Linked DNA regions of Cricetulus griseus. The protein of the gene in region 1 interacts with the protein of each later gene in a pairwise test. Links are inferred from orthologs where the notes say so. Each region holds a gene or a part of one and is shown on either strand. Other genes may lie near its edges. The genes, in order: Gadd45g, Arpc5l and Eef1a1.

Region 1 (6,654 bases):
ATTACGTAACTTTTAGAAATGCAAAAACATCTGTCATGAAAGCAGGTGTCTTTCCAAAATCAGCCTACAGCCTACAAGCTGCTAGTGCCTGGGCACCCAGAAGCATCATGCAGCAGTTTGGTGACCTCTCAGGAATCAGACTCTGCTCACCCATTTATTCTGTGGCTCTGAGCAGCCATTAGAGTGGCCGTGTGTTTGTGTGGCTGTTTTCCTCATTCCGTGTGTTCTAGAGGCAGGGCATTGGGCTCAACACTCATGTTCCTCACCTTAATGTGTGTGTCATGCTTAGCCCATACGTGGGGTTTATCCGTGCATTTTCACCAATCATCACTCTAAGTATGAAACGTAGTGTGTTCACAAACACTGTGCACATGAAGGCTTGGTATGTGATTCGGTTGGTAGAGTGCTTGCCTAAGTTTCATCCCCAGTACCGCACAAAATGAGGTAAGGTGGCCCAAACTAGTAATTCCAGCACTTCTGAGGTGAAGACAACAGGACCAGAGGTTTAGGGTTATCCTTAGCTACGTAGTGAGTTTGAAGCCAGAACCCTGCCTAAATAACTACACACCATACAATGTACTTCCTGCCCTCTTAGTTCATTTTAATATTAGCATGCATCTATGAAGAAAAAAAAAAGGAAAGAATTCAGCACAAATTTTGGCCACCCTCATCCCCTCCCATTCACTAGCCATTCAAACCTGCATTCCTTCTCTCCCCACCCCCACCCCACTCCCTACTGAAAATTCTTGTCTCCTAAAACTCTAACAGGTGGCCACAAAGTAAGGGCCAGTCAGAGAAAGCCAAGTTTCCTGACCGATTGCCAATTCAAATGTTCTACAAGGGTCTGCCATTCTGCAGTGTTCTGCTGAGTTCATGCATTTCAGGCCACCTTCTGGGGTAATTTGTTTTAACTGCAGCCCACTATGGCAAGAAGTCATTTTTATCAGCTTGCAGGTCTAGTCTGCAAGACTCTCCCACCTAAGAAAAATTAGAGAAAACACCATAGGAAGCAGTAATGATATTCGGGCACAATGTAGCTTAATTGTTTCACCAGAGTTGGTTTCCAGTAGAAACGGAATGCTTCCCTTACCGGAAGTGTCATCCAGCTCCTCCAGTTTTCCTGCTGCCTTGTACAGGCTTCCAGAATGTGGAGTGGAGTTTTAAAAGTGGCACTCAACCGGGAGACCAGCCTCCCTAAGCAATGCTGGTAAATCGGCCGAATGGCCTTCTAAGAAAAACAGCACCCCACCCCTCCCTTCCCCGAAGGCTTTCACGCTGCCGGGCAGCAGAGCTGACAGCAAGAATGCCCCACGTGGGCTTCCCCTGACAAACCCAGACAGCCTGAAACAGGCAGTGAAAGCCAGAGCACTAAACTAACAGAAAAAGTCCTCTCACTGGGACGTGTCCCCCACATCCTTCTCAAAAGGTAATCTTGGCTCCCAAGCGTTTCTCCTCCGACTTTAAAAGGAATTGTGGGTAGCAGCAGCCCTCACTGATGTGGGCAAAGGCACTCGGAATAGGAACTAGCAGATGCCCACCCCACTCAGCCTGGCTCACGCCTATTTGTGTGGGACTGTGCCTCCAACTTCTGCTAAGATACTGCTAAGATTTCCATCACGGCCGTGACAAAATGATGATTCACACTTAAAACGCAGTCGTTGGTGTCATATTTGATATTAATACTTTAGTAGCGCTGCTTTGCCAGAGCAATTAAAAGGAGAAAGTTCCTGAAAGCAAGAGCAGTCCACCCCTATCCACAGGCACCACCGAGGGCAGAGTTGCAGAAGGCAGCTCATTGTATTGGAAGGCGCAGGGCCTCCCGCAAGCGGTTCAGATAAGCAGCTGTCGGAGGCAAGGGGGGGAGGGGAGAAACTGGAAGCAGAAGTCACTGTTATCGGATTGGATTGCAAGCCTTGCGCTCCTGCGCCGGGATGCCTTATCTCAAGTATGCCCCCGTCTTGCAAGTTAAAAATCTTCCTGGAAGGATAAAACAGTACTCGGGCCCCAAGTCCTCCCCCTTACTTCTCGCCACCATCCCCTCCCCCACTGCCAGCCCCAGCAGGCTGTAATTTCTTGCCCAACAGAAAGGTGGTTACAGGTGCCATAAGCTCCATCAACCACCAGAAACACCCTTTACCACCTCCCCCGAGATAGGAATCCCCTGCCCTCAATAAAAGGCGGAAGTTTGTTTCAATGAGTTTATTGTGAAATTCAAAGCTTCCACGATAGCGTCCTTTAGAAAATGAAAGCATTGCCCGGGATCCCTTTTGGGAAAGAGCGGTGCAGCCTGCGAAGTCCGGCTCGCTCCTGCAGCTGGCCACTCCTGTAGCTGTACCAAGTCCAGGCCGCCTGCCTTGCTTTTCCTCTCGTTTCACTGGAAGGCTGCTGAGTCACGCCTGCCTCACTAGTCGGTTCTTCCCGGCCCTGCGGCCAACGTCCCTGCCTAGGCCTTCCTGTGCTAGCAGCCTCTCTGGACAGTGGCAGAGTCCTGGGCTCGGAACAAGGTGTCCCCGCCGCCGCCAGGCCCCCTTCTTGGGAGGCTGCGCTCCTCGCTCTCCAGGCAACACCGCCTGCCAGTCTCCATGCGCACTCGAGCGCCCTCGGAGGGCCACTCCAGAGCCAGCAGCGCGCTAGAGCGTCACCAAGTCGATCAGATCAAGGTCCCTGCCGGGCTGTCACTCGGGAAGTGTAATGCTGGGCACCCAGTCGTTGAAGCTGCGGCTTTCCTCGCAGAACACGCTGAGTTTCTCCAAAGCAGGGTCCTTCCACGTGTCCTCATTAGGATTCTGTATTAAAAAAAAAAAAATTCAGGGGTGAGCCAGGCTGGCCGATGGCCAAAACGGGTGGGGGAAACCGGCGTGGGGAGGCAACAGCAGCACTCACCGAAATGAGTATGCAGTGCAGGTCCCCCGGCGCGCCCGCCTCGTCGTCCGCACCCACGATCGCCGCTAGCCGCTGAACATCACCCACGCGCACGATGTCAATGTCGTTCTCACAGCAGAACGCCTGGATCAGCGTGAAATGGATCTGCAGCGCTATGTCGCCCTCATCTTCTTCATCGGCAGCCAGCACGCAAAAGGTCACATTGTCAGGGTCCCTGCAGAGCAGATGGGAAGAACAAGGTCAGAGCCGATGCCACCCCCAGGTCTCCCAGCCGCGCCAAACCCAATCCCTGCACGCAGGGCCTGTCCATACTCACACATTCAGGACTTTGGCGGACTCGTAGACGCCAGCGGTCAGACAGCCCTGGCGCTGCGCCGACAGCAGAAGTTCGTGCAGCGCTTTCCCGGCGCCCTGCATCCTGTAAGAGAACAAGCACGGTGAGTGGGGACCAGCACGAGGACGCGGCGGAGATCCCAGCCCTGACCTCCAGGTCCCAGCTGGCTCCTTAGCCTAGACCTGCCTGGCGCCAGCATTCCTGCCTCCCAACTCCAACCTGGCGCCCACACACCCGGATCCCCAGTCCCGACTTGGCGCCCACACCTCTGGCACCCTAGTCATGATCTGGCGCCCTCATTCCCCATCACCTAGTCTCGCCCCGGCGCCTGCACCCCCGGTTCCCTACTCCTGATCTGGAGCCCATAGCCCAGGCTCCCCAATCCGGACCCGGTGCCAGAATCCCAGTCTCTAGCTCTAGGAATGAATCGGACGGAGTAATTGTGGCCCCACCGCCTCGGCACCTCGCTGTCAGGCAGGGCACGGCTCCCACCCCACAAACTTCCACCCTAGAAGACCCTGAAAGATCTCTACCCGACAAGTCCAACCCTCGCCACCCCAAAACCTACCTGGCTGTGCTTTCCGGAACTGTATCCTGGCCACGGACTTCTTCCAGAGTCATTGTACGATCCACGGGCAGCAAGTTATCCAAAAGTGAGGAGTGTGGAGGGAACCGAGGGATCCCGAGCGCAGGTAAGGAGCCCCAGAACCCGACCCGCGCGCCCACCACCAGCGAGTGCGCCAGGCACCGCGGCGAGCGCCCTTTTATAGACGGGCCCCGCGCGACGCCGCCAGCTGGCGGGAGGCTGCGCTCCCATTGGCCAGCGCCCGCTTTCTGATGCAAATGAGGCGGCAGGCCCGCGGCTCGTGCCAGAAGGCCACGTGGGGAGGGGTGCGGGGGATGACACAGCCTCAAATCTGCCGCTTTTGTCAGGGTGTTACCAGGCAGACTGGAGCCTGCAGATTTCATCTCGTTTTCTTTTTTGTAAGTCCTTAAAAGGAAAAAGTTAAAAAAAAAAACCAACAACGTTGTTTGCTAATATGATACTGGAATTTGTGAAATGCACGCTTGGAGAATGTAAAAAGCCTTTTTTTGCATTTATTTTTATTGCGACCTTTCTAATTTTTTTTTTAATTTCCAAATTGAGGTTTATGGGGCTGTTGCATTGAAACCGAAACTTAAAAAGTCAAAGGTTTGCAACTGCAGCTGACACCAGGCCAAGGTCGCCTCTAGAACTCAGGACTCAGCGCCTTTCAGGGTCGCGGCTGCAAGGTCTGCGCCGCCCTCCCCCACACCCACACCCCGGCCCCTGTCCCGTCCCGTCCCCCACCCCTGCCCCTGCCCCTGCCCCTGGCAGATCGCTGTGGGGCGCGGGCAGCAGGGACCAGCAGATTGCTGCCGGCACACGCGGCTCGTTTGCATTTCTATACGGGGCACACAAAAGAGGAGGTCTGGCGTGTGGCAGTTCGCAGTGGGGACAATCGACGCTTTCTCTTTCATAGCAACACTGTCCACCTGCCGCCGGGTGGGGTGGGCAGAGCCCCGCCGCGCGCGGGGGTCGCGGGGTTGCCCGGCACGTGGGGGTCTGAGCCGCGTGCCGCTCCCCCGCCCCGGGGTGCGCACCTCTCAGACTCGCCCTGGTTGCTGGGATTCTGATGCACGCGTCCCCAACCGCGGAGAAAGCAGTGAGGCACACAGGGCTACTACTCCGGAAACCCTGAGGTTCCGGGGTTCAGACTCCAGAAGCTAGGCACACGCTGTTCCACAACTCTTTTCCCAGGGCGCCGCCTACAGGCCGACCCAGAAAGTACCAGACTTCCCCATCACCCACCCCATACAGCCAGCCTCGCGCTGACCTCTCGGGGTCTTGGCCCCGGGCAGCCCGGGGCACCGAGGCCCTGTGCAATCTGCGCATTAATTGGATTCAGAGTAGAGCTTGCACTCAGTGCCCCGGGGCTGGAGAGCAAAAGGAGCCTGCCACCCAGGACTGGTGGAATACGAATCCGTCTGTCTGGTGAGACTGAAATACTTCAACTACTTAAAAAGGTTCTTTTCTGATAACGTAACAAATATGAAAGCGATCTTGGGAATTTCCTGAACTTGTCATTTGTCCGGTGAGACCTGCACACACACCACGCTTACAGACTGCTCCCCCGCACAACACGACCCTGTGGGCGCCTGTATCTCTCGTGCTACACGGAAAAGTGTTCTAGAGGACCCCTGGAAGTTCTCGACCTCTGCTGAGCGAAGCCTGAGAGACTGGTTAGGGCAAAGGGTGGACACGAAGTTTGCCAGACTGAGGCAAAAATCACACGCACGCACGCACACACGCGCGCGCGCGCACGCACGCACACAGGGGGTAATTTTCTTTTTTTACTGGAGCGTTCTTCAGGTGGGTGGTGAATGTGTACATTCAGTGTTAACCTGTGAAGTCCTTTAAGGAAGTTTTCCTGCTGCACTGGGAGGCTGCGGGTTTACCAAAGCCAAAGGCCAGGCGAGGGGCCGGTGTCTTGCGCCACCCGGAGGCTGCACTGAGAACTGCAGGTGCAGCGCTGTGGTTCCACTTGTTTTTTTTTTATCTGCAAGGTCTCTCAAACTCTCAAAGCCCCTTCCTGGCTGTCTTAGTGGCATATAAAATGATGGGGAGCCCTGCGTGAATAGAATGCTTCTAAGTGATGAAAACTTAAAGTTGTTGCTCTTTTCAAAGTTTTAACACTTCTTAACTCTCAGTTTCAGATCCTGAGGAAACGTCGGAAATAATAATCCATTTGATATCTTAGCGCACACCTGCTCCTGCCATTCATAGCTAGAAAACTGCTCACTTGTCAGGATGCAGGAAACTGCCCCCAGTCCCTCCCCGATAGGAAGGCCGGTACAGGTTAGTGCAGGCTTAGGTACTAGCGTTTCCAGACCCCGCCCCCAGCCAGTCTGGGCCAGAAGGGATGATTGACAAGCCCCAAAGCTAGTCTACTCCACTGACATTTTAAAAGGATTCGATTACAGGAAACCCTCTTTTCTGCCATAAGATATGGCCCCACACAGCTTTAATTAGGTAAGTCCTAGTGGTCCCAAAGTCCCCATCTAAATTAGGAAAGAAAGGTTTGGGGCCCAGCCGGAAGTCACAGGCAGTATTTCTGAGCTCGTACTCTACAATGGCTACACTCTTACAAAGTCCCTAGACTTTAATAATGTAAGGGACAATGAGTCTATTAAAGGGGAAGTCTCACATTTGCTCCGCTTTTGAAACTCTCTGGAGGGGTGGGGCTATAGCTCCGCGGCGCGTGGAGAGTCGCACAAGACCAGGTCTTAAAAACCATGCATGGAAGCCCAGAGCTGGAGTTCAAGGTCGTCCTTGAACTAAATAGTTAGCACCAGCCTGGTACACCTGTCTCAAAACTGAAGTAAAATAAAAGGCTTAGGAGCACCTGGAATCCCAG
Region 2 (6,678 bases), on another chromosome or scaffold:
ATCTCTCCTGAGCAGATGCAGCCATCACCCTGGTTTCTTCCTGCCCACAAGTCTTGTGTGAGGTTTATTGTGTGGCATGACTTTGTGATATTCCTTGGCTCCCGGCTGCCTGATACCTTTCCATCCGAGTTGAGCTGTAACACATAACTAGGATTAAACCCAGGTGGCGCACGCCTTTAATCCCAGCACTCGGGAGGCAGAGGCAGAGGCAGAGGCAGAGGCAGAGGCAGAGGCAGATGGAGCTCTGTGAGTTCGAGGCTAGCCTGGTCTCCAGAGAGAGTGCCAGGATAGGCTCCAAAGCTACACAGAGAAACCCTGTCTCAAAAAACAAAAAAAATAAACAAACAAACAAACAAAAAAAACAAAAAAACAAAACCAGGATCTCCAGTGTACTGGGTAAGTATGCCACAATAGGCTGCATCCCTAGAAATGCATCGTTGAAGTTATCAGTCATCGCTTGTTTCTATTACATGCCCCATCTAATTTACCAGCAAATCCTGTAGGCTTTATCTTGAAAACACCTAATAGGTTCCCATCACCCCCTTTTTTTTGGCACCTTCAAGGCTTGAGCTACTATTGCCTATAGCCTACTCGTAAATTAACATTTAAAAAAACCCCAAAAAACCCAAGGTCTTGCTATATCTAGCCTTGGCTGTCCTGGAACTCATTATGTAGATCAGGCTGGCCTTAAACTCAGAGATCCACCATACCTAACACACCTTGAAACTTTTTTAGTTCTTGTTCCCAGATCTTTCTCTCTCTCGCTTTTCTTTTCTTTCTTTCTTTCTTTTTTTTTTTTTTTTTTTTTTTTTGAGACAGGCTTTCCCTGTAGCTTTGGAGCCTGTCCTGGAACTTGCTCTGTAGACCAGGCTGGCCTCTGCCTTTCAGGTGCTAGAGTTAAAGGCATGTACCACTAACTCCTGGTTAATGCAGACTCTTGGTCCTCAGGATTGCAGGGGTGCACTACCATGTCAGATTTCATATCATGAATTTAAAAGCCTATCTGATGAAAGGCCACGGACATGAGCTAGAACATTATTTCATTCACATAATTATTTGCGGTCACTTCCCTGTTAAACCAGTATTTCTGATATTAAGTTCCTTCTGACCAAGATTTTCTAGGAGAGAGACTGGAGTGATGGACTGATACATAAGAGCACTGGTTGCTTTTCCAGAGGAACCAGGTTCCATTCCCAACACCCCTATGACATGGTGGCGCTAAACCATCTGTGTAATTACAGTTCTAAAGGATCTCATGCCCTCTTCTGTCCTCCATCAGGCACAACACCCATGTGGTGCACAGAAATACCGGCAGGCAAAATACACATTTAAGTAAAATATTAAAAACATATTTAAAGATGTTGTCTCAAGAACATTTTTATAAGCCGGGAGGTTGTAAAGCTAGGACATTTCTTTAGTCCCAGCACTTGGAAGACAGAGGCAGGAGGATCTCTGTGAGTTCAAGACCAGCTTGGTCTACAAGAGCTAGTTCCAGGACAGGCTCCAAAGCTACACAGAGAAATCCTGTCTTGAAAAACCAAGAAAAAAAAAAAAAAGGACATCTTTTATAATATCAGATGTTAATTCCTGCTATTTTATGGCCAGCCTGCATCCCAGATTTCTTCTTATGTATGGGGCAGATATACAGGTAGGTTTTGACTACTTCCAGGATCTGAGACTTTATTCAGCATCTACTTGCACCATGTCTGCCTGGCAGTTTTTGATCTACAGATACAGTTCAATGGGAAGTAGGCAAAGCAAAACATGATGTTTCAAATACTGTTTTTGCACAAGAGTGCTATCAGATGAAAATGTAGTAAGTTTTCGTACAATTATGGGAAAAGCCCATTTTAGCCTACAGCTGAAATCAGGAGAAACCAGCATCCTAGGCCTCCTGGACTAACTGCACTCTTCCCACCGGTTTCTGAATTCTGCTGCTTTCGCCTCCTAAAATGCACCTCTTCAAGTCAGCATCGGCCTTCAGCAATAAAGGTGACCACGGCATCTTTTTTTTCGGAGCGCCCGGAGATGTTGCTACATCTTCAAGTAAAGATGTCCTCAAGCGTCATGTCAGTTCTTGGGTTATACGTTAACGCAGTTATAAAGCCCTTCACTCCTTTAACAAAGTCACTTCTCTGTAACCAGACAGGAATCCTTTTGTGGGTCAGTGCGGTTCGCGTCCAAGGTAGAGAGGCTCAGGCGACGCGCTTCACTATCACTCCTTCCTCAGCTCAAGGGTTTCTTCCTCAGGAGCTGACGGAGGTGCTGCCTGTGCCCGCAGGCCGGTAGCCTGGAGGAAGACACAGCAACCGCGGCACCGCTAGGGGAAGCCACAACAGGAACAAACGAATCCGCGCCTCTGTCCCGCCCACACAAGCTTCCGGTTCCGACGTGGCCCGGAAGTGGGCGGGCGGCGGCGGCTGCGCGTGGAGAAGGGCAGGAGGTGCTTCGCTGCGGCTTCCCGCCCCCGAGCGGAGCCGGTGCGGAGGGCAGTGGGATCTAGCCGGCTGGGCAGCCGCCGAGCTCCCGCCATGGCCCGGAACACACTGTCCTCACGTTTCCGTCGGGTGGACATCGACGAGTTTGACGAGAACAAATTCGTTGACGAGCAGGAAGAGGCGGCGGCGGCGGCTGGCGAGCCAGGCCCCGACCCCGCCGAGGTGGACGGGCTCCTGCGGCAATATCCTTCCCGGCGAGGCCGCTCGGACTCGGCCTTCGCACGCACCCTTCTCGCCCCAGCCCTAGCCCCCGCCCGGCTTCTACCAGTCCCGAGCTCCCCGGGTCCTTCGTCCCCGGCCTCTACCCTTCCTCAGCAGCGCGGCCCTGGAGCTCGTTTTACTCCTCCGCATCCCTCTGGGTACCCGTGCATGGGCCTTGATCCCTCCAAACCTCCTTGCAGGAGACTGGGCCATGCCCGGCCGCTGATCCGCGGGAGGGCCGGAGGTGAGCCACCTTGGATTCATTGAGCAGCCAGGGCCTCCGGCGGCCTGTCTATGGCTTTCTTGGGCCCGATTGCAGCCCAGCGTGAAAATAGGTGGGTGGATTGTTGGGGGGAAGATGGACCAGAGGGTGGGGGTTGGGGAGGGGAGGGTGTGACATTGCCGTGCCACCTCTTCTCACCTGTCATCACATTCCTCTGAGCACGTTGGGTTTTGAGCTTTTATGGGCCGAGCCACATTCAACAAGTGATTTGCGACTCTCCCATTAACTGCCTTGTGCAGGAAGCATAGAAAAAGCTAGTGTCAAGTGTAAAAGAGACTCCCCAGCGACTGGAAATGACTGCTCTTGTGGCCACAGAAAACTGACGTTTAGAACAGAAGAATAAAAATAGAGGTGACTGTCAACTGGCTTGAGCACCACGGGGAACTGACAATCTCACAGGAAGTTTTTATTCTTTATGCAAATGGTGTGTACCCTTCCCCCGCACTTGCTAGGGCCGTGTTGGAGGCTCTTGCTGTATATAAATCATGTTCTGGGTGTTTAATCAGTTGACTTAGCCTGGGAAGTCAGGCCTACTGCTTTTGGGAGGAGCCCCGTAGTTCTCTAATATACCTTTAAAACAACTCGTCCAGACAGGAGTGTTTTCAAACGTGGAGATTTCAAACTTGTATTTCCTGCATCATTCAAGTGGTTAAATGGGGTGATGAGAACGGTTTTTATTGTGGTGCAGGGAATTGACTGGTTTATGGGCACTCAATTGTTGACAAGGCTCCAGAGTGATTCATTTGACCCAGAATCCTAATTATATTGATGAAGAGACTGGGGCTTGGTCAGCTGTTGCCTTGGTACTTTTTTTTTTTTTTTTTTTTTTTTACCGGAGACAGGGTTTCTCTGTGTCCTGGAACTCACTCTGTAGAGCAGGCTGGCCTCGAACTCACAGAGATTCACCTGCCTCTGCCTCCTGAGTGCTGTGACTAAAAGTGTGCGCCACCAATGCCTGGCGCTAGCTGTTTTCATTATTTTTTTAATGAGGCAGTTTCAGGCTTTAGATTTAGAGCTTCTAGAGAGAGGAGATGGCAGTATCAGAAGCCTTGTTACGGTGGAAAATGTACCTCTTGGGATTGGGAGAAGGGAGGTTAGCAGATGAGAAGTGAAACCCTAGCAGATGTCAGCAGGTAGGGGGAAGGATGGAAGTAGTAATTGAGTGCCTTCCAGGTGCCAAGTGTTGGACTTCGATCATTGCATTCAATCCAAAGAACCTCATGGGAGGGAGTCTTGGAGAAGAGCAGAGGTTTGGGGGGGGGGGCTAAGAGGAAGTGGTCTCCGCTGTTGTGGGAATTGCCATTGTAGAAGAGCAGATAGAGTATTTTTCCCTGGTGCAAGAAGGGACTTTGAGAGCCCTTCCCACGTGAAGGGATACGCTCTGGCCGTGGACACATGGGGAAGGGCCCAGGACCAGCACAGGAAGATTTGGTGGACTTTGCAGAGCCCCGGTTGAGAGGTCACATACTTCTCAACCTCAGTATTCTTTTTCTAAATGATAGACATAACTATGCTGGCCTCACAACTTCAATGTAGCTTCACGGAACACACATCTGGTGTTCTCCACAGGTTGTGGTGATGGAGTGTACAGAGGGCTTGGATTTGTGACCTTGAGCAGGTAATTTCCCTTCTGGCTCAGTTTCATTGTCTCAAAGGAAGAAGTCAGGTTCTTGTCCCAGAGGATTTTTAAAGGAAGGTGAAATGTGAAATGTGACTGCATCTAGTCCTGGGTCTAAGACCCTGGGGAGATTTTTCCTCCACTCTGGCAGTTTTAAATTATCACTGTAGCTCATTTTCTTTCTCAGTGAAGCAGCTTTTGGTCCTTGAAGAGGACTATAGAGCACCATTTTGAGTGATTTCATATAGTTCTTTTCACCCCCAAGGAAATTTGACAATCTGGTGACACTTGTTTATCACAGTTTTAGGATGTTACTGGGAACTTTAACGGTAGAGGCCAGGGAGGCTGTTAAGCATCCTGCAACACACATCAAAGTTTTAGGGTCATGGCTGAGAACAGTCTAGAGGGTTCTGTAGTTACCACAGTGTGTTCTCTGAAAGTGCTGGAAGCTGTCTAGGTATGGAGGTAGTTTAGTAAACTTTGTGTGATCGTAGAGTTGCCCCCCCCCCCCCCCCCCCAGTTCTACCCAGCAGTAGCTTTTGTGAAGATTGCTTCACAAAAAGCTGCAGGTACTGTCTGGCAGTGGTGGCACAGACCTTTAACCCCAGCATTTGGGAAGCAGAAACAGGTGGGTATCTGAGTTCGAGGCCAGCCTGGTCAGGACAAGCGCTAAAGATATAAAGAGAAACCCTTTCTCAAAAAAACAAAAAGCAGTACTAAACTTAACATTCTTGTCCTTCCCCCATATCCATTTTGTCAGTGAAATGATGTTAGTCCACATGTACTGTTAAGCCTCTGGGACCCTGCTTATTGCCTAGTGTATACCAAGTTAAAAAGTTATGGGGTAGAAGGCTATCATTGGCTGTATCAGGACTAGCCTTTCTTTGTCTGAGGAAAAGGAATTCTAAAACGAATAGATAAGGTAGGGTCTGATTGAGCACAGTGGGGGAGTGGCTTGTCTTGTGGCACAGACCAGCTTTTCATGATGGCACTTACTGGGGAAGCTGGGAAATCAGGTTTGTACCAGAGGCTAGCTGTTTATACATAGGGATTGCAGCACAAACAGGAATTTTAAATGTCCTGATTGGACAGTCATTCCTTGTTCTGTTTTTTAAGTGTTTTGGCTTAAGCCAGTGTTTCACATGAGGGAATGAAAGTTGGCTGATGTAATTCAGTTTAAAATAGGTGTCACCTTTGGGGACATAACCTACTTTGTAATTTTCTTTGTGTGCCGGGTATTCAGATCTCAGCAGTGAATGTGGAGTTGGGATTGTATGTAAGGTTTGTGGGGCAAGGGAACAGATGGCTCATGGCTCACTTTGTAAGCCAAAGTAAGACTTTGCCGATCTGGAAAATAGACCCCCCCCTTTTTTTGAGACAGGGTCTAACCATGTAGCTCTCTCCAGCTGGCCTTCGACTTCTGCCTCTGCCTGAATGCTGTGCTGTCCATGGACTCATTCTGTAGACCAGACTGGCCTTGAATTCAGAGATCCAGCTGCTTTTGCCTCCTGAGTGCTGGGATTAAAGGCTTACACCACCACTGGGGCTGGCTTCAAGTTATTTGTTTAGTAGTTTAGAAAGAAGCATTGAGTGAAGAGTTAGGATGTGTTTGTGTCTATTTTTCGCTTTTAGAATGAGAGGGTGAGAATTCTTACAGTTCATCTGTGCATGAACTCTGTAGGGTAGACAGCCTAGCACTGAGGTGCATGTAGGCTGTTTCAGATTCTATTACAAAAGTGGGCAGTTTTCTTGGGCTGGAGAGATGGTTCAGAAGTTAAGAGCACAGGCTCCTCTTCTAGAGGTCCTGAGTTCAATTCCCGGCAACCACAAGGTGGCTTATAACCATCTATAATGGGAACTTGGTGCCCTCTTCTGGCCTGCAGACAGAACATTATATACCAAAGAAGTAAATAAGCCGGGTGGTGGTGCCTTTAATCCCAGCACTCGGGAGGCAGAGGCAGGCGGATCTCTGTGAGCTGGAGACCTGCCTGGTCTACAAGAGCTAGTTCCAGGACAGCCTCCACCTCAGGGAGGAATGAAGGAAGAGCTTGCAGGTTAGCAGAGGTTAGGAAAGCTGG
Region 3 (6,678 bases), on another chromosome or scaffold:
TCAGGTTCTGTCTCCTTTCTTTTTTTTTTTTTTTTCTTTTCTTTTTTTGGTTTCTCTGTGTAGTTTTGGAGCCTATCCTGGCACTAGCTCTGAAGAGCAGGCTGGCCTCGAACTCAGAGATCAGCCAGCCTCTGCTGGGATTAAAGGTATGCACCACCAACGCCCCAGGTTTTGTCTCAAACAAACAAAAATAACATCAGGAGGTGGTGAGAGGGCTCAGTGGTCACAGGCATTCTCTGCAAAGCCTGACTCTGAGTTGGATCCTTTAGAGCTACATGGTTGAGGGAAGAGAACTGACTCCTGGAAGGTGTCCTCTGGTCCCCACACATAGCTATACACAGCATGTGCATTCACACACACTAAATAATGCTATTTTTAAAAAAATTAAAAACAACAACAGTTTGGGTTGTGAAAACTAGAACTAGATAATAGGTAAGAATCAAGTATCATGTAAATTTGCTTTCAACTCATCCCAAAATTTGTTTTATATTTCAGTTTTTTTCCTTCCTAGCTTGACTGTGGAGTCTTGTCCGGAAGCAAATAGTTCCTTTGCAGATCCCACATGTGGACACCGGACAGTAGGTCCTCAAATGCTCCTTATTAGGTTGGTTCAATAATATCAATTGTTTGTTACTAGGCAGTGATGTTGTACATCTGGAGGAGATCTCTTGAGCCCATAATCAGGTTATTAGGAATAAATACTCTAAGGCTAAAAATGTAGCTTAGTGATAAGAGTGCTTGCCTGGTGTGCTGAGACCCTCGGTTCCATCTCCACAACCCCATATTCCATTACAAAATACCTTTTCACCGTCCCTAGCATTAAGAAACAAAACAACAAAGAAGTTTTTCTTTCTTCTGAGATCCTGCCCGGAGAGGCATTTAAAACTGGCCAGGGCCAAAAAAAAAAAAAAAAAAAAAGAAAAAAAAGAAAAGAAAACAGGCTAGGGCCGGCATGGTGGCGCACGCCTTTAATCCCAGCACGCAGGAGGCAGAGGCAGGGCGGATCTCTGTGAGTTTGAGGTCAGCCTGGTCTACCTAGTGAGTTTCAGGGCACCCAGGGCTAAAGAGACTGTCTCAAAAACAAAACAGCCACACAATCAGAACCACAGCAAAACGCAGTTATGATCCTTGGAACTGTAGGAATGACAAGCATTTAAATAATAGGACGAGCCATTTTTGAGAAGCTCTGATTTCACAAGTGTCAGGGATGGGCTCTGGGCGAGTAAGATTGCTAATGCTGGCCTCTAAATGAGACCACGTGGAGTTGATTAGATTCTTTTCATGTTCCTCGTGCTCTATCAAATAACTGTACCCAAATACACACACACACACACACACACACAATGCGCGCACACACAAAATCCTTTTTTAGCTTAAGAAGCCCAGAATCAGAAGTAAAGCTAACTGTGGGACTTAAGTATTATTCTGAACGGAACTCCCAGGGCGTGAAGCGCGCTTCAGGCTTCCAGAGAAGCAGCTGGCGCTGGATGGAATGAACCAAGAGGCCAGCACAGGGGCAGATCCGTCGAGCTCTCGGCCACCGAGCTGAGCCCTTAGGTTCTGGGGCTGGGAAGGGTCCCTAGGATTGTGCACCTCTCCCGCGGGGGACAAGCAGGGGGATGGCGGGGCTGACGTCGGGAGGTGGCCTCCACGGGAAGGGACACCCGGATCTCGACACAGCCTTGGCAGTGGAGTCAGGAAGGGTAGGGACAGATTCTGGACGCCCTCTTGGCCAGCTCCTCACCGCCCCACCCCCGACTGGAGCCGAGAGTAATTCATACAAAAGGAGGGATCGCCTTCGCCCCTGGGAATCCCAGGGACCGTCGCTAAATTCTGGCCGGCCTCCCAGCCCGGAACCGCTGTGCCCGCCCAGCGCGGCGGGAGGAGCCTGCGCCTAGGGCGGATCGCGGGTCGGCGGGAGAGCACAAGCCCACAGTCCCCGGCGGTGGGGGAGGGGCGCGCTGAGCGGGGGCCCGGGAGCCAGCGCGGGGCAAACTGGGAAAGTGGTGTCGTGTGCTGGCTCCGCCCTCTTCCCGAGGGTGGGGGAGAACGGTATAAAAGTGCGGTAGTCGCGTTGGACGTTCTTTTTCGCAACGGGTTTGCCGTCAGAACGCAGGTGAGTGGCGGGTGTGGCCTCCGCGGGCCCGGGCTCCCTCCTTTGAGCGGGGTCGGGCCGCCGTGCGGGTGTCGTCGGCCGGGCTTCTCTGCGAGCGTTCCCGCCCTGGATGGCGGGCTGTGCGGGAGGGCGAGGGGGGGAGGCCTGGCGGCGGCCCCGGAGCCTCGCCTCGTGTCGGGCGTGAGGCCTAGCGTGGCTTCCGCCCCGCCGCGTGCCACCGCGGCCGCGCTTTGCTGTCTGCCCGGCTGCCCTCGATTGCCTGCCCGCGGCCCGGGCCAACAAAGGGAGGGCGTGGAGCTGGCTGGTAGGGAGCCCCGTAGTCCGCATGTCGGGCAGGGAGAGCGGCAGCAGTCGGGGGGGGGACCGGGCCCGCCCGTCCCGCAGCACATGTCCGACGCCGCCTGGACGGGTAGCGGCCTGTGTCCTGATAAGGCGGCCGGGCGGTGGGTTTTAGATGCCGGGTTCAGGTGGCCCCGGGTCCCGGCCCGGTCTGGCCAGTACCCCGTAGTGGCTTAGCTCCGAGGAGGGCGAGGCCCGCCCGCCCGGCACCAGTTGCGTGCGCGGAAAGATGGCCGCTCCCGGGCCCTGTAGCAAGGAGCTCAAAATGGAGGACGCGGCAGCCCGGCGGAGCGGGGCGGGTGAGTCACCCACACAAAGGAAGAGGGCCTTGCCCCTCGCCGGCCGCTGCTTCCTGTGACCCCGTGGTGTACCGGCCGCACTTCAGTCACCCCGGGCGCTCTTTCGGAGCACCGCTGGCCTCCGCTGGGGGAGGGGATCTGTCTAATGGCGTTGGAGTTTGCTCACATTTGGTGGGTGGAGACTGTAGCCAGGCCAGCCTGGCCATGGAAGTAATTCTTGGAATTTGCCCATTTTGAGTTTGGAGCGAAGCTGATTGACAAAGCTGCTTAGCCGTTCAAAGGTATTCTTCGAACTTTTTTTTTAAGGTGTTGTGAAAACCACCGCTAATTCAAATCCAACATGGGAAAGGAAAAGACTCATATCAACATCGTTGTCATTGGACACGTAGATTCAGGCAAGTCCACCACAACCGGCCACCTGATCTACAAATGTGGTGGAATCGACAAACGAACCATCGAAAAGTTTGAGAAGGAGGCTGCCGAGGCAAGTATTCGAAGGGAAAAGGTCGGGGGGGGTGGAAATCTACCGTAAGCAGGAAATTGTTTATTTAGAAACTAGATGTTTTGAGTGTACTAACTGCGAATCACTGAACAGATGGGAAAAGGCTCCTTCAAGTATGCCTGGGTCTTGGACAAACTGAAAGCTGAGCGTGAGCGTGGTATCACTATTGACATCTCCCTGTGGAAATTTGAGACCAGCAAATACTATGTGACCATCATTGATGCCCCAGGACACAGAGACTTTATTAAAAACATGATTACTGGCACTTCTCAGGTTTGTGAAATTTACTACCTTCTGACCCTTACCTCCAGCTGGAAAGCTTTGTTATTAACGGGAGGTAACTTTTTCTTAGGCTGACTGTGCTGTCCTGATTGTTGCTGCTGGTGTTGGTGAATTTGAGGCTGGTATCTCCAAGAATGGGCAGACCCGTGAGCATGCCCTTCTGGCTTACACCCTGGGTGTGAAACAGCTAATTGTTGGTGTTAACAAAATGGATTCCACCGAGCCACCTTACAGCCAGAAGAGATACGAGGAAATTGTGAAGGAAGTCAGCACCTACATTAAGAAAATTGGCTACAACCCTGACACAGTAGCATTTGTGCCAATTTCTGGTTGGAATGGTGACAACATGCTGGAGCCTAGTGCTAATGTAAGTGACTTGAAGAAGGTGGTTAAATGGAAAAGCTGTAAGGGGGGAGAGATTATAAAACATTTGGCTACTCTGCATTTCAGATGCCTTGGTTCAAGGGATGGAAAGTCACCCGTAAAGATGGCAGTGCCAGTGGTACCACACTGCTGGAAGCTTTGGATTGTATCCTGCCACCAACTCGTCCCACTGACAAGCCACTGCGACTGCCCCTCCAGGATGTCTATAAAATTGGTGGTAAGTAGAGCATTCGGACACTGGACTAAGATGTTTTGAGGTGTGTTCAGTTGTCTTCACCTTATATACTGTAAATGTTTTTAGGTATTGGGACTGTTCCTGTGGGCCGAGTAGAGACTGGTGTTTTAAAACCTGGAATGGTGGTTACCTTTGCTCCAGTCAACGTTACAACAGAAGTAAAGTCTGTTGAAATGCACCATGAAGCTTTGAGTGAAGCTCTTCCTGGAGACAATGTGGGCTTCAATGTAAAGAACGTGTCTGTCAAAGATGTCAGACGTGGCAACGTTGCTGGTGACAGCAAAAATGACCCACCAATGGAAGCAGCCGGCTTCACTGCTCAGGTAAACAAGATAGGTGTCAAGAGTGTAATATTGATAGCAGCATGCAAAACCTGAAGGCAAGATTTAACCAAATGCTGTTTCTTTCAGGTGATTATCCTGAACCATCCAGGCCAAATTAGTGCTGGCTATGCTCCTGTACTGGATTGTCACACAGCTCACATAGCATGCAAGTTTGCTGAGCTTAAGGAGAAGATTGATCGCCGTTCTGGTAAGAAGCTGGAAGATGGCCCTAAATTCTTGAAATCTGGTGATGCAGCCATCGTTGATATGGTTCCTGGCAAGCCCATGTGTGTTGAGAGCTTCTCTGACTATCCTCCACTGGGTAAGTAGAACTTAAGTTTCTGTTGCACTGAGTATTGTTTGGATATGAAATGCTGTATGAACAAGTGCTCATAACTGTTTCTGTGTAGGTCGTTTTGCTGTTCGTGACATGAGGCAGACAGTTGCTGTGGGTGTCATCAAAGCTGTGGACAAGAAGGCTGCTGGAGCGGGCAAAGTCACCAAGTCGGCCCAGAAAGCTCAGAAGGCTAAATGAATATTACCCCTAACACCTGCCACCCCAGTCTTAATCAGTGGTGGAAGAACGGTCTCAGAACTGTTTGTCTCAATTGGCCATTTAAGTTTAATAGTGAAAGACTGGTTAATGATAACAATGCATCGGAAAACCTTCAGGAGGAAAGGAGAATGTTTTGTGGAACATTTTTGTGTGTGTGGCAGTTTTAAGTTATTAGTTTTCAAAATCAGTACTTTTTAATGGAAACAACTTGACCAAAAATCTGTCACAGAATTTTGAGACCCATTAAAATACAAGTTTAATGAGAAGTCTGTCTCTGTTAATGCTGAAGTCATTACTAAGTGCTTAGCTTAGCAAGGTATGTGGATGCCCATTTGTGTTCCAAGGGATTGGACTGTTCATCAGGACCCAGAGCTGAGTTTCAAGGGCTCAAGAGATGGCTTATTACCTGTGGGTGTCTTGAAGGTTCTGGTTGGGACAAATTAGGAATGTTTTTGGCAGACATGGTGACTACCCTTCATCTGGGTGAGTTCAGTTGATTTGTCTTGAGCCTTTGGGGTTTACACAAGTAAATGACATCATACAGTTAGTGTATTGTTAGTGAATATTAATATATGAGGCAGGCTTTGCTCTAGCAATTTTAGAACTAGTTTTCAGGAAAGGGTTCATCTTGTGCATTGGATGTTTGATTCTATCACTTAGAGTTTAAACTGAAAGTGCTCAAGAGGTTTTATTTAGGCTGGGATATAAATAAGCCTTTCTGTAGCTTGTAATGGTATCAGGAATTTAAAAGGCCATCTGGGGCACAAAGATTAAGCAGAAAAGGTAGAAGGTGAGATTGGGGGACTTTGAGTACTTCACACACTTTAATGTGTGAGTGCTTTAGTGCATATAGTACAACTGCCAGATAAGGGCATCCACATCTGATTGTTTGGAAGGCACCTTGTGGTTTCTGGGAATTCAGAATTGGGAGAAAAAGTGCTCCCAACCGCTGAAGCCCTTGGTAATCTGCAGGGTGTTTATTTAGCAGGAGATAAGGACAAAAAGTTATAGTGTGGAGTTGGTTGAGTTGGTAGATGTCATTACAACAGGTGGTCTTAAATTGGGTTAGGAGTCACTTTGAAATACCTGGGCCATAAGCAAAGTGGCATTTTCACCTTTCAGGAGAAACTGGTACACTTATCCATTCTATAGTGCATGCTTGTTCAATTGGGCTGATGACTAAACCGGTGACTAAAGGTTTGTCAGTATAAATGGATGGGTTGTAGGCAGACGGTGAGGAATTACTATACCTGCAAGGAGTCATTGCCTGATCTGCCTGGAAAGGGGCAGGATTGAGTCTCAGAAGGTGTACACCATAGGATATGGAAAAATTTGTCACGCCTAGCATTCAACTTAGTGGTGTAGCGCCACCTACTGGCACTTTAAAAGCTTAGCATAGAGGAGCATGTGTGTTAGGAGCTCGGATGGGATCCAGGGCCTCAAGGTTTGCATGTAAATAAAAGCCCTTTACCAAATTAACTACATACCAGCATACATCAGTCCTTTAGTGTTGAAAAACAGAAGTGAAAGCTAATATATATAGTGCTTGCTTTATTTAAGTCTAGCTGATTACGTGTTTGGTTGCCAGTGTGACTAGTCTGGAGTTGAATTTGTCCTCAGACACGTAAAATGGAATTTGGGA

What was found.
Region 2: the proteins of Gadd45g (region 1) and Arpc5l interact in binary tests that used the Homo sapiens proteins (3 or more experiments, as listed by UniProt). The link is inferred for Cricetulus griseus from reciprocal best matches to the Homo sapiens genes GADD45G and ARPC5L.
Region 3: the proteins of Gadd45g (region 1) and Eef1a1 interact in a two-hybrid assay, tested with the Homo sapiens proteins (2 studies listed by BioGRID and IntAct). The link is inferred for Cricetulus griseus from reciprocal best matches to the Homo sapiens genes GADD45G and EEF1A1.

What each region holds. Positions count from the first base shown.
Region 1 is NC_048596.1:270,786,056-270,792,709, reverse strand, and holds Gadd45g (growth arrest and DNA damage-inducible protein GADD45 gamma), read right to left. Parts: upstream 3,952-6,654; 5' UTR 3,839-3,951; coding exon 3,786-3,838; intron 3,302-3,785; coding exon 3,200-3,301; intron 3,098-3,199; coding exon 2,884-3,097; intron 2,787-2,883; coding exon 2,676-2,786; 3' UTR 2,166-2,675; downstream 1-2,165. UniProt on the Homo sapiens protein: Involved in the regulation of growth and apoptosis. Mediates activation of stress-responsive MTK1/MEKK4 MAPKKK.
Region 2 is NC_048599.1:150,269,182-150,275,859, forward strand, and holds the start of Arpc5l (actin-related protein 2/3 complex subunit 5-like protein), read left to right. Parts: upstream 1-2,411; 5' UTR 2,412-2,531; coding exon 2,532-2,680; intron 2,681-6,678. UniProt on the Homo sapiens protein: May function as component of the Arp2/3 complex which is involved in regulation of actin polymerization and together with an activating nucleation-promoting factor (NPF) mediates the formation of branched actin networks.
Region 3 is NC_048597.1:189,543,785-189,550,462, reverse strand, and holds Eef1a1 (elongation factor 1-alpha 1), read left to right. Parts: upstream 1-2,083; 5' UTR 2,084-2,116; intron 2,117-3,060; 5' UTR 3,061-3,094; coding exon 3,095-3,238; intron 3,239-3,349; coding exon 3,350-3,529; intron 3,530-3,608; coding exon 3,609-3,905; intron 3,906-3,988; coding exon 3,989-4,139; intron 4,140-4,223; coding exon 4,224-4,480; intron 4,481-4,567; coding exon 4,568-4,802; intron 4,803-4,890; coding exon 4,891-5,015; 3' UTR 5,016-5,284; downstream 5,285-6,678. UniProt on the Homo sapiens protein: Translation elongation factor that catalyzes the GTP-dependent binding of aminoacyl-tRNA (aa-tRNA) to the A-site of ribosomes during the elongation phase of protein synthesis.